Sus scrofa: one gene and its partner. The protein of the gene in region 2 interacts with the protein of the main gene of each other region in a pairwise test. Links are inferred from orthologs where the notes say so. Each region holds a gene or a part of one and is shown on either strand. Other genes may lie near its edges.

Region 1 (4,391 bases), on a different chromosome or scaffold from region 2:
GCCAGGCTGCACCACAGCCACAGCAACTCGGGATCCGAGCTGTGTCTTCGACCTACACCACAGCTCACAGCAATGCTGGCTTCTTCACCCACTGAGCGAGGCCAGGCATTGAACCTGAATCCTCATGGGTACTAGTCAGGTTTATTACCACTGAGCCACAATGGGAACTCCTAACTGATAATTATATTTGTACATAAATCTTGGTCTGAATCTTTAAGGTGGGAGTTTCTAGAAATGTAACACATTATTTTCTGTAAAGGTCAGTACCCTTTCCACCTCCCAGCCACACTTCCTTCAAGGGTTTGTCTTGCTGCAGGTCACCGGCATTGGGGTTGCTCCTCAGATAAAAAAAAGTTGACCCGATCCATGGGCTCTTCCTTGTTTTCATCCGCATTTAAAGAGAATTACTGGAGTTCCCCGGTGCAGCAGGTTAAGGATCTGATGTTTTCACTTCTGTAGCTCAGGTGCAGCTGTGGCTGGGGTTTGATCCCCGGCCCAGGAACTTCCACCTGCCAGCGGTTGTGGCAGAAAAAAAAAGTTACCAGCTAGGTTGAACACTTAAAAGGATGTCTCCTATGCTGAGTGTTTACCACATAATGTACTCTGGACCTGAATTCTCTTTCCTGAAATGCACACCCTGCTTCCTCCTCCAGGGCCAGCAGAGCTGGAGCCCTGTTTGTGAGGCTTTGCGGCCTCCTGCCTCCCTCAGTTTCCACCCTCTGCATCCCACCCCCTCCACCCCCGCGGTGTTGGTGACAGGTGTGTCTCCCTTGCCTGCGAGCCTCTTTCTTGGATCCTTTTTGGTTCTATTGATACAAAATTCACATATTTTTCAATTCTCTCATTGAAAGTATACAGCTGAAAATTTTTAGTATATTTGCGGGAGGGGGGGTTAACCATTATCGTAGTCTAATTTTAGGACATGTTCGTAACTCCTAAACGACATCCAGGAGCAGTCAGGCTCCCTTTTCCCCCACCTTTCCCACTCCCAGCCCTAAGCAATTGGAGCCGTTCTCTCCCGTCTCAGCACCCAGCCCGGGGGGTCAGAGTCGTCAACGAGTGAAGGCGAGTGTAGCAGCCTGGGTGCGTTTCCTCTCCTCCCGCTTGCTCCATCTTCTCCCCCAGATCCGCGTCGCGTAGGGCGCTGCCGACTCGTGTAGAGCGCGCGGGGCAGCCGTGGTGGGGTGAAGGCGGCAGCGGGGCGGGGGGCCGAGCAGGTGCGGCGTGGGCCGTGAACGTGGATGCCTGCGGGCCGGTGCGTGTGGGGGCCACCGGCCGAGCCGGCGGGCTTGGGGCGTGGCGGAGCCCGGGGTGCGCGCACCCCTCCAGCGAGCGCCAGGTGCTGCAAGGCTCGCGGTGCCACCCTCTCCGCGCTGGGCGCCGGATGGGGGCGTGGTGCGAGGGCGTGGCGTGGCGGGAGGGCGTGGCTGTCCGGGCGGGGGGCGCGGGTGGGCTCCGCGCGGGGGGAGATCCGGAGGGGCGGGGGCGGGCCCGCGTGGCGCATGCGCGCTGCATTGTTTTGACTGAAAATGCCGTCGGTTTCGAAAGCGGCGGCGGCGGCGCTGAGCGGGTCCCCCCCGCAGACCGAGAAGCCGACCCACTACAGGTCAGTGCCCCAGCCGGCCGCCGCGGAGGCGGGGGCGAGGCGGGGGGGACAGCTCCGCGCGCCCCCGGCCCGCGCGCCCGCGCCCCCGCACCCCTGGGCCTGGGAGCCGCCGCCGGGTGCGGCCTGGGGCCTCGCGCCGCCCCCCGCCTCGCTCTCCCCGCCTCTCTGGTCTCACCTGCGGCCCCTTGGCCCGCCAGCCTCTCATGCTCCGCGCTGCGCCTGGGCTCTAGGCGGGTGGACTGCCATCCTACTCGGCTGCTGCCACATTTGGACAGGAGGCGGCGCCCAGGGTCTAGGGTGGCAGCTGGGCTTGGGGGCGGGGAACTGGGTCGGGGGTCTAGACGTCTGGGTTCGGGTAGGAGAAGAGCGCCTGGGGTCGTGGTCGGGGACCGCCGAGAATGCGCCTGTGGTCGGAAGTGGGGGACCCCGACTGGAGTTGGGGAGGAGGGCAGCCTCCGCCTGGGGTCGGAAATAGTACCGGGGCTTGGGGCAGCGGCTCTCCTAGAATCCCCGTATCGCACCTGAAGTTGGGGGCCGCGTTTGTGGTCTGGATGGGGGGCTGCGCATGGGGTCTGGGGGGTCGCACCTGCGGTCCGGGAAACTCTCCTGGGATGTGTGTGTGTGTGGGGGGGGGTGGCCGCCTGGAATCGTCTGGAGTGAGTGTAATGCCTGAGCTGCGCCTGGAGCCAGGAGTCCGTGTCTGGGTTCTGTGGGGTCTCACCTGAGGTCAGGGACCGTGCCTGGGATTGGCGAACCATGTCTGGGATCTGAGGAACGCGCCTGGGTTCAGGGGGCGGGGGGGAGGGGGAGGCGGAAGATCGCACCTGAGGTCGGAATCACACCTGGGCAGCTGCGCCCGGGGTCGGGGGCCGTGCTTAGGATGGAGGATGGGGCTGGGCACCTAGGGTCGGGGATGGGACATCTTGCCTGGGATCCGAGGAACGAGCCTGGCCGGTGGGGGTGGGGGTGGGGGGTGGGGAGGAGGGCGGCAGCGCGAGGGGTCGCGCCTGGGGTCCGGGCCCGCGGGCGCGCGGCGTCCGATCGCTGCCCACGAGTTCCCGGGCCGCCCGCCGGCGGCGGCGGCGGCGGAAGCGACCCGAACGCTGTTTGTCTTTTTAGGTATCTAAAGGAGTTTAGGACAGAGCAGTGCTCCCTGTTTGTGCAGCACAAGTGCGCCCAGCACAGGCCATTTACCTGTTTCCATTGGCATTTCCTAAATCAGCGTCGGCGCAGACCGCTCCGCAGGCGCGACGGCACCTTCAACTACAGCCCGGACGTGTACTGCTCCAAGTACGACGAGGCCAGCGGCGTGTGCCCTGACGGCGACGCGTGAGTGTGCGCGCGCGTAAGCTTGGAGGGCAGCGCCGGCTGCCCACACCTGGGCGGGCGGCAGGCTTGGGCTTTTCAGCACCTGGCACCTGCAGGGCCCTGTCGTCCCTGTGAGTTTTTCCGAGAACCACTGGTCTTGGGGGGCGCGGGGGGTGGGGGGACACATATCCCTGGTTCTCGGCCACTGCAGGAAGGACTGCCAGCGGATGCTGGATCAACCTGGCACGGTGCGAAACGATTCTGCCCCACCTTCTCTGCTTTTCTTGCATTAGAACCAACCCTTAGGAGATACACCTTCTGGGTTTAGGACCATTTTGTAGGCATCACCTGTTTTTTGGAGAGCGCCTGTGGGAATGTTTGCTCACATTATGCAAATACTTCTGGAAAGTTTCTTTTCTTACTGTTGATATGTTTAATTTTTAAGAAAAAAAGCGATAGGAAAGTTATTTACAGGCTATCATTTGTATCACCCTTTTAAAGTTTATGAAATGAAGGTTTTGTGGAGTTCCTGTCGTGGCTCAGTGGTTAACGAATCCGACTAGGAACCAAGAGGTTGTGGATTCCATCCCTGGCCTTTCCCAGTGGGTTAAGGATCCGGCGTTGCCATGAGCTGTGGTGTAGGTCGCAGACGCTGCCCGGATCCCACGTTGCTGTGGCTCTGGTGTAGGCCAGCGGCCACAGCTCCGATTCAACCCCTAGCCTGGGAACCTCCACGTGCCACAGGAGCGGCCCAAGAAATGGCAAAAAAAAAAAAAAAAAGAAAGAAAGAAAGAAAGAAATCAAGGTTTTGTTTTGGTTGATTTTTTTTTTTAGCAAGTTTCCTGATGGTGTGAGGAACAGATGTCTTCATTTTGAAATATGTGGACGGGGAAAACAGGGGAAGCGCCAGGCGGATGGTATGTTCCTATAACCAGCAGAAATTGGTGGCAGGAACTGCTTTTTTCCAGTGGGCCCTTTGAGATGGGGAGGGCCCATTCCTTCCCACCTGGAGGTGAGGTGGCATCGGCTGTGCCCCAGGGCCCTCTGGATAGAGCGACTCATTCAGTTTCTGCTCCGTTCTGGGTCTGATGGGGGCTGCGGTGCTTCTGGTCTTCAAACCCTGATCCTCTGAGGGGAGGCGGTTCTTCAGGTGTGGCCCCTTGTGAGCCCAGCTTTCGCACGGCAGCACGGGGAGCCCCCTGTGAGTCTGTTCTTCGTTTTTGGAAATGCTTAAGCTAGGGAGTAAGCTTTTGATCTCCAGTGACCATCTTCTAAGCATTAGACACTTCCTGAAGGGTTTTTAGTTGAACACCAGAAAGTTACAGGTGTTGTGAAGGCAGCCTGGAGCCTGCAGCAATATTGTAGCCAGGTCTGCTTAGGTTAAGATGATGTGATGGTTTTGTGAAGTTTCGAAGTGGCATTGTTTGCAGTTCCTGTTGGGGCTCAGTGGTAACAAACCAAGCTAGTATCCATGAGG
Region 2 (4,506 bases):
TTGAAGACTTTATCATACATTGCAGATAGGCTTGTACAGTGGCTATTCACATATGAATTTGGTCCAACCTACACTACATTTTCCTTTAATAGCAAAATCACTAATTTGGATTTTAAAAATAATTTCAGATGATAGAGAATATAATCATAAACTCATTCTTTAATTTGCATACTTAGTAACTGTAGAGATTGTTGTAACTTGTTTGGAGCTGTATGCAAACTGTTTTGCAACTACTACAAGTTAATGAGACGGAGTTCCCATTGTGGCTCAGCAGTAATGAAACCAACTAGTATCCATGAAAACTCAGGTTCGATCCTTGATCAGTGGGTTAACGATCTGGTGGTGCGATGAGCTGTGGTGTAGGTCACAGACGTGGCTGGGACCCAGAGTTGCTGTCGCATAGGCCAGCAGCTACAGCTCTGATTCGACCCCTAGCCTGGGAACTTCCACATGCCATGGTGCCGCCCTAAAAAGCAAAACAAGACAGATCACAGGACTGAAACAATTTATTAAAATTTGCTTGAGGAATAATCCACGAATGAGAGTCTGGAAAAGACAGGACAGCTATAGAGGACTAAACTTCTCTTCAGGATGGTGACTAGGAATAAGGTAGGTCGTCTAAATAAAAACCAAAGAAAACTGTCTAACAAGAAAAAAACAAGTTTTTGGTCCTTCTGGAAAAGTCAAGCCTTGTCTGGCAGTAGTCTCTACTATCATAATCTGAAAATCTAAAGACCCTCAACGGTAAAAGAAGACTGCAAAAGGCGACGCAGCATAAAGCCTATGCTTAGTGCTAATTAAGTCCAATTACTGTTGTATTCGTATTTTCGTTTCTCGATGCATCCCTTCCTTAAGAATTCTCATCCATCCACCAGTAACCACCTGGGACTCGAAATCCCGCAGGTGGGAGATGATGGGCCCGGGAGGCGGCAACTTTCATGTTTGGGCCTCAGCAGCCGCATCCCTGAAAAGCAGAAATGGATTCGACAGCTTGCCGGAGGACTGGTGCAGGCTGTAAGAGATAGGATACAGGTAGGAGGCGGGCAAACAGCGTGTCACAAGGCTCCTCCCTCCTGCAAAGGACGCTAACGCCGCACGTCCAGAACAGCACTAAAAAGACACCGCCCCCTGGCCCGGACTCATTCTAGGACCTGCCTCCAAAAAGCATCCTCCCGGCAGGAAGAGTCTCACCCCAGACTTCACTCGGAGGAGCCGAACTACTCACTGTCGATGTCCTCGATGAGGCTAGCGGTGCCGGGCATATAGTTCATTTTGAGTTGAAATGAGGCGCAACGTATAGCGGTGGTGGGCCAACTCGTCCAACACTTCCTTCTTCCTACCGCAGTCGCCGCCTCGGCGGCACCGGGACAAGAACCCGGACCCAGAGTAGCACCTCCGGCCCGGCTTTCAGCCGCCGGGGCCTGCCGGAAACGTCGCCATATTACTCCCACCCACTTCCGGCATCACGTGCCGGTGCTCAGGAAGAGGCGGGACCGTAGTGAGGTCCCGAGGCACCCTTTCCACGTCCTTGACAAGAGGGGAAGAGAAACCTAGATTGGATACGTAGTGGGGAAATGCGTTCTCCCTTTTAAGGTACACGGTGGCGCCCCTTGCTGTCCTGCTTCCTAGACCCCAGAGTCACCGACCTCAGTCCTTCAACTCTCAAGAATCTGAGGCCGAGGGGGCGGGACCCGGCCTGGGATTGGCTGTTGCTGGCCGACCCCCTTCCCTGCGGTCCACTTGCGTTCTCCGGCTGGCGTCTGCGCAATGGACCGGCCGTGGGGGGCGGGAAGCACTTGGGGGCAGTGGAGCCCATGTCGGCCTTGAGGCGCTCGGGCTACGGCCCCGGTGACGGTCCGTCTTATGGCCGCTACTACGGGCCTGGGGGTGGAGATGTGCCCGTGCACCCCCCTCCGCCCATATATCCTCCCCGCCCCGAACCTCCCCAGCCTCCTGTTTCTTGGCGGGTACGCGGGGGCGGCCAGGCTGAGACCACCTGGCCGGGAGAAGGGGGAGGAGGAGATGGCTACTATCCCTCTGGAGGCGTCTGGTCGGAGCCAGGTCGAGCTGGAGGAAGCCACCAGGTAAGCTTTGCGCTGTCTGTCCCGGGGTGGGGTAGGGGACGGCAATAGGGGAGTCTTTGGAGGTGAGGGTTATTGGGTTTGATACACCTCCAAGAGTTCGTAATGAATTGGGTTTCATGTGTTTTCCTTATGGGGGGGTGGAGAGACAGAAACTAGGATCGTAGGTGGGGGCTATGCTTGTTTTCTCTTTGCCTCTTTTTTACTTCAACCATAGTAAATGTCTTAGCATGAAAAAGGGGAAAAAGATCCTGCGCTGACCTGCTGAGCTGAGTAGCGGGCTGCGAATCTCGCCTGGGAACGGTGTTGGGCTGGAGGGATCCGGGTCTGCTTTTCGAGTCCTGACAATTTATCCTGCGTGGCTCATCAGGTCGGCCCTCCCCAAGAAGGGAGGTGGCTGCAGCACCCTCCGTCCCTTAGCAACCCCTCCCCCTGGGAAGGAACGTGAAGGAAGGGGAGGGATCTGGGCGTTTAGCTCTTTGCCCTTTTAACGCTTTGCCCGACATTGAATCACGCATAATCAATGTTGGAAAGCAGCTTTCCGTGGATTGTTTTATTTCATCTTAAGGGTGACTGCCGCGTAAATGTCATCACATCTTCTCTGTTTTACGATGAAAGAACCGTTGACCGTGAAGGGTTAACTCACTCAGTATATTTGAACCTATAATGTCTTGTTCCTTGTAGTCGTGCGGAAATACAGTTGTTTTGTTATGCAGTATGCTTCGCAGAGAATTAATCGTTATCTGGTGGGGGCACTCCTATCCTTTTCTTCAGGAAATGTAACATCCTCATTGGTTGAAAATGTAATAATGAAATTCCCATACATTGCTGGTGGGAACATAAAATGGTTCAGTGCTTTGGAAAACAGTTTGGAAGTCCCTCAAAACGTTAAGCATACTGTTGGGATCTTACTCAGCAAGTCTGCTCCTTGTTATACACCCAAGAGAACTAAAAACATGTCCACGTATAAACTTGTACACGTGAGATTCATAGTAGCATTATTCATAATAGCCAAAAGGGAAAATATTCCAAATGCCCATCAACTGATGGATAGATAAAATCTGACATATTCATACAATGAATGGGAAGAAATGGGAAGAAATGAAGTACCTTCTACAACATGGATGAACCTTGAAAATATGCTACATGAACGAAGACAAACATTAAACATTGTGTGATTCCATTTATATGAAATATCCAGAATGGGCAAGTCTGTACAAATATATGTCATTGTCAGGGGTTGGAGGCCTGGAGACATTGGGGAAGATAGTTAAAGGGTATGGGGTTTCTTTTGGGGATGATGAAAATATTTTGGAATTAGATTGTAAATGAAGATTGCACAGCTCTGAATATTAAAAAAAAACATTGAATTGTACACTTTAAAAGGCTGGGTTTGATGTCATGTTATTTCTTTTAAAAAGTTGTATCATAAAAAAAAACGTAGTGAGAGGTTAATTACAAAGAAAGGCCCATAATTTCTCTATCTGAATCTAGAATAAGCAGCCTGAGGGAACTTCAGTCCCGACAGAGGAGAGTGAGGAAATGCTTGGCTAATAGGTATGCAGACTAGACCTAGGCTCACTTGTGGGGGAGGAGGAGAGAACCACTAAGCTGATGATTCCACCTGGGCTTGCTGTGTAGTCAAAACAAAGGTTTTTTTTGGGTTAAGGTTAGAGAAGTTAAGATCTTAGTACTGGGCAGGGAGTTTAAAGGGAGAACAGGTGTGCACACAGGCTAGGTAATGCTGGAGCGGTCAGGAATACGGCCGGAATGTGATTGGGCATTTGTCAACCGTTGCAGGAGTTTATCTTTCAGGTTGATGTTTCTGAAACTTGAAAAGTATAGGATGATGATTTCTTTCTTTGTTTTTCTCAAATGGCTGCACTTGCAGCATATGGAAGTTCCCAGGCTAGAGGTCAAAATTGAGCTTCAGCTGCCAGTCTACACCACAGCCACAGCAACATCAGATCCTTAACTCATTGAGCAAGGCTAGGGATCAAACCTGCATCCTCATAGATACTAGTCAGGTTCTTAACACTCTGAGCCCGGAAGACATCTTACTCTTCAAAAAGTGTAGTCCATGTACCAGAAGCTTCAGTGTTGATCTGAGGCAGTTAGAAATGCAGAATCTCTCCTGCTCCATACTTCCTGCTGCTCCAGTTTAATAAGATCCTCAGGTGATTCATATGCACGTTTGTGGCTGAGAAGCATTGCTTCACAGAATTGGATATATTGAGATGATATTGCAGTGAATAACTGCAAAGACTTGACTCTATATTAATGTATTTAAATATGGCAGGAGTGAAAAAGAGAAAATCTCTGTTTTCTTTCTCTTACATTGTTAGCTATACTTGCAGCACTGTAGTTTGATTCTTGAACCAGCAGTATGTGCACCACCAAGGAGCTTCTCGGAAATGCTGTAGTT

Evidence for each region.
Region 1: the proteins of BAG4 (region 2) and UNKL interact in binary tests that used the Homo sapiens proteins (3 or more experiments, as listed by UniProt). The link is inferred for Sus scrofa from reciprocal best matches to the Homo sapiens genes BAG4 and UNKL.

Annotation. Positions count from the first base shown.
Region 1 is NC_010445.4:40,443,526-40,447,916, forward strand, and holds the start of UNKL (putative E3 ubiquitin-protein ligase UNKL), read left to right. Parts: upstream 1-1,471; 5' UTR 1,472-1,529; coding exon 1,530-1,606; intron 1,607-2,725; coding exon 2,726-2,935; coding exon of another isoform or gene 2,936-2,951; intron 2,952-2,982; exon of another isoform or gene 2,983-3,045; intron 3,046-3,748; exon of another isoform or gene 3,749-3,793; coding exon of another isoform or gene 3,794-3,831; intron 3,832-4,391. UniProt on the Homo sapiens protein: May participate in a protein complex showing an E3 ligase activity regulated by RAC1. Ubiquitination is directed towards itself and possibly other substrates, such as SMARCD2/BAF60b. Intrinsic E3 ligase activity has not been proven.
Region 2 is NC_010457.5:48,345,814-48,350,319, reverse strand, and holds the start of BAG4 (BAG family molecular chaperone regulator 4), read left to right. Parts: upstream 1-1,509; 5' UTR 1,510-1,814; coding exon 1,815-2,084; intron 2,085-4,506. Other genes in the region: U6 snRNA-associated Sm-like protein LSm1, read right to left, coding at 1,226-1,271. UniProt on the Homo sapiens protein: Inhibits the chaperone activity of HSP70/HSC70 by promoting substrate release. Prevents constitutive TNFRSF1A signaling. Negative regulator of PRKN translocation to damaged mitochondria.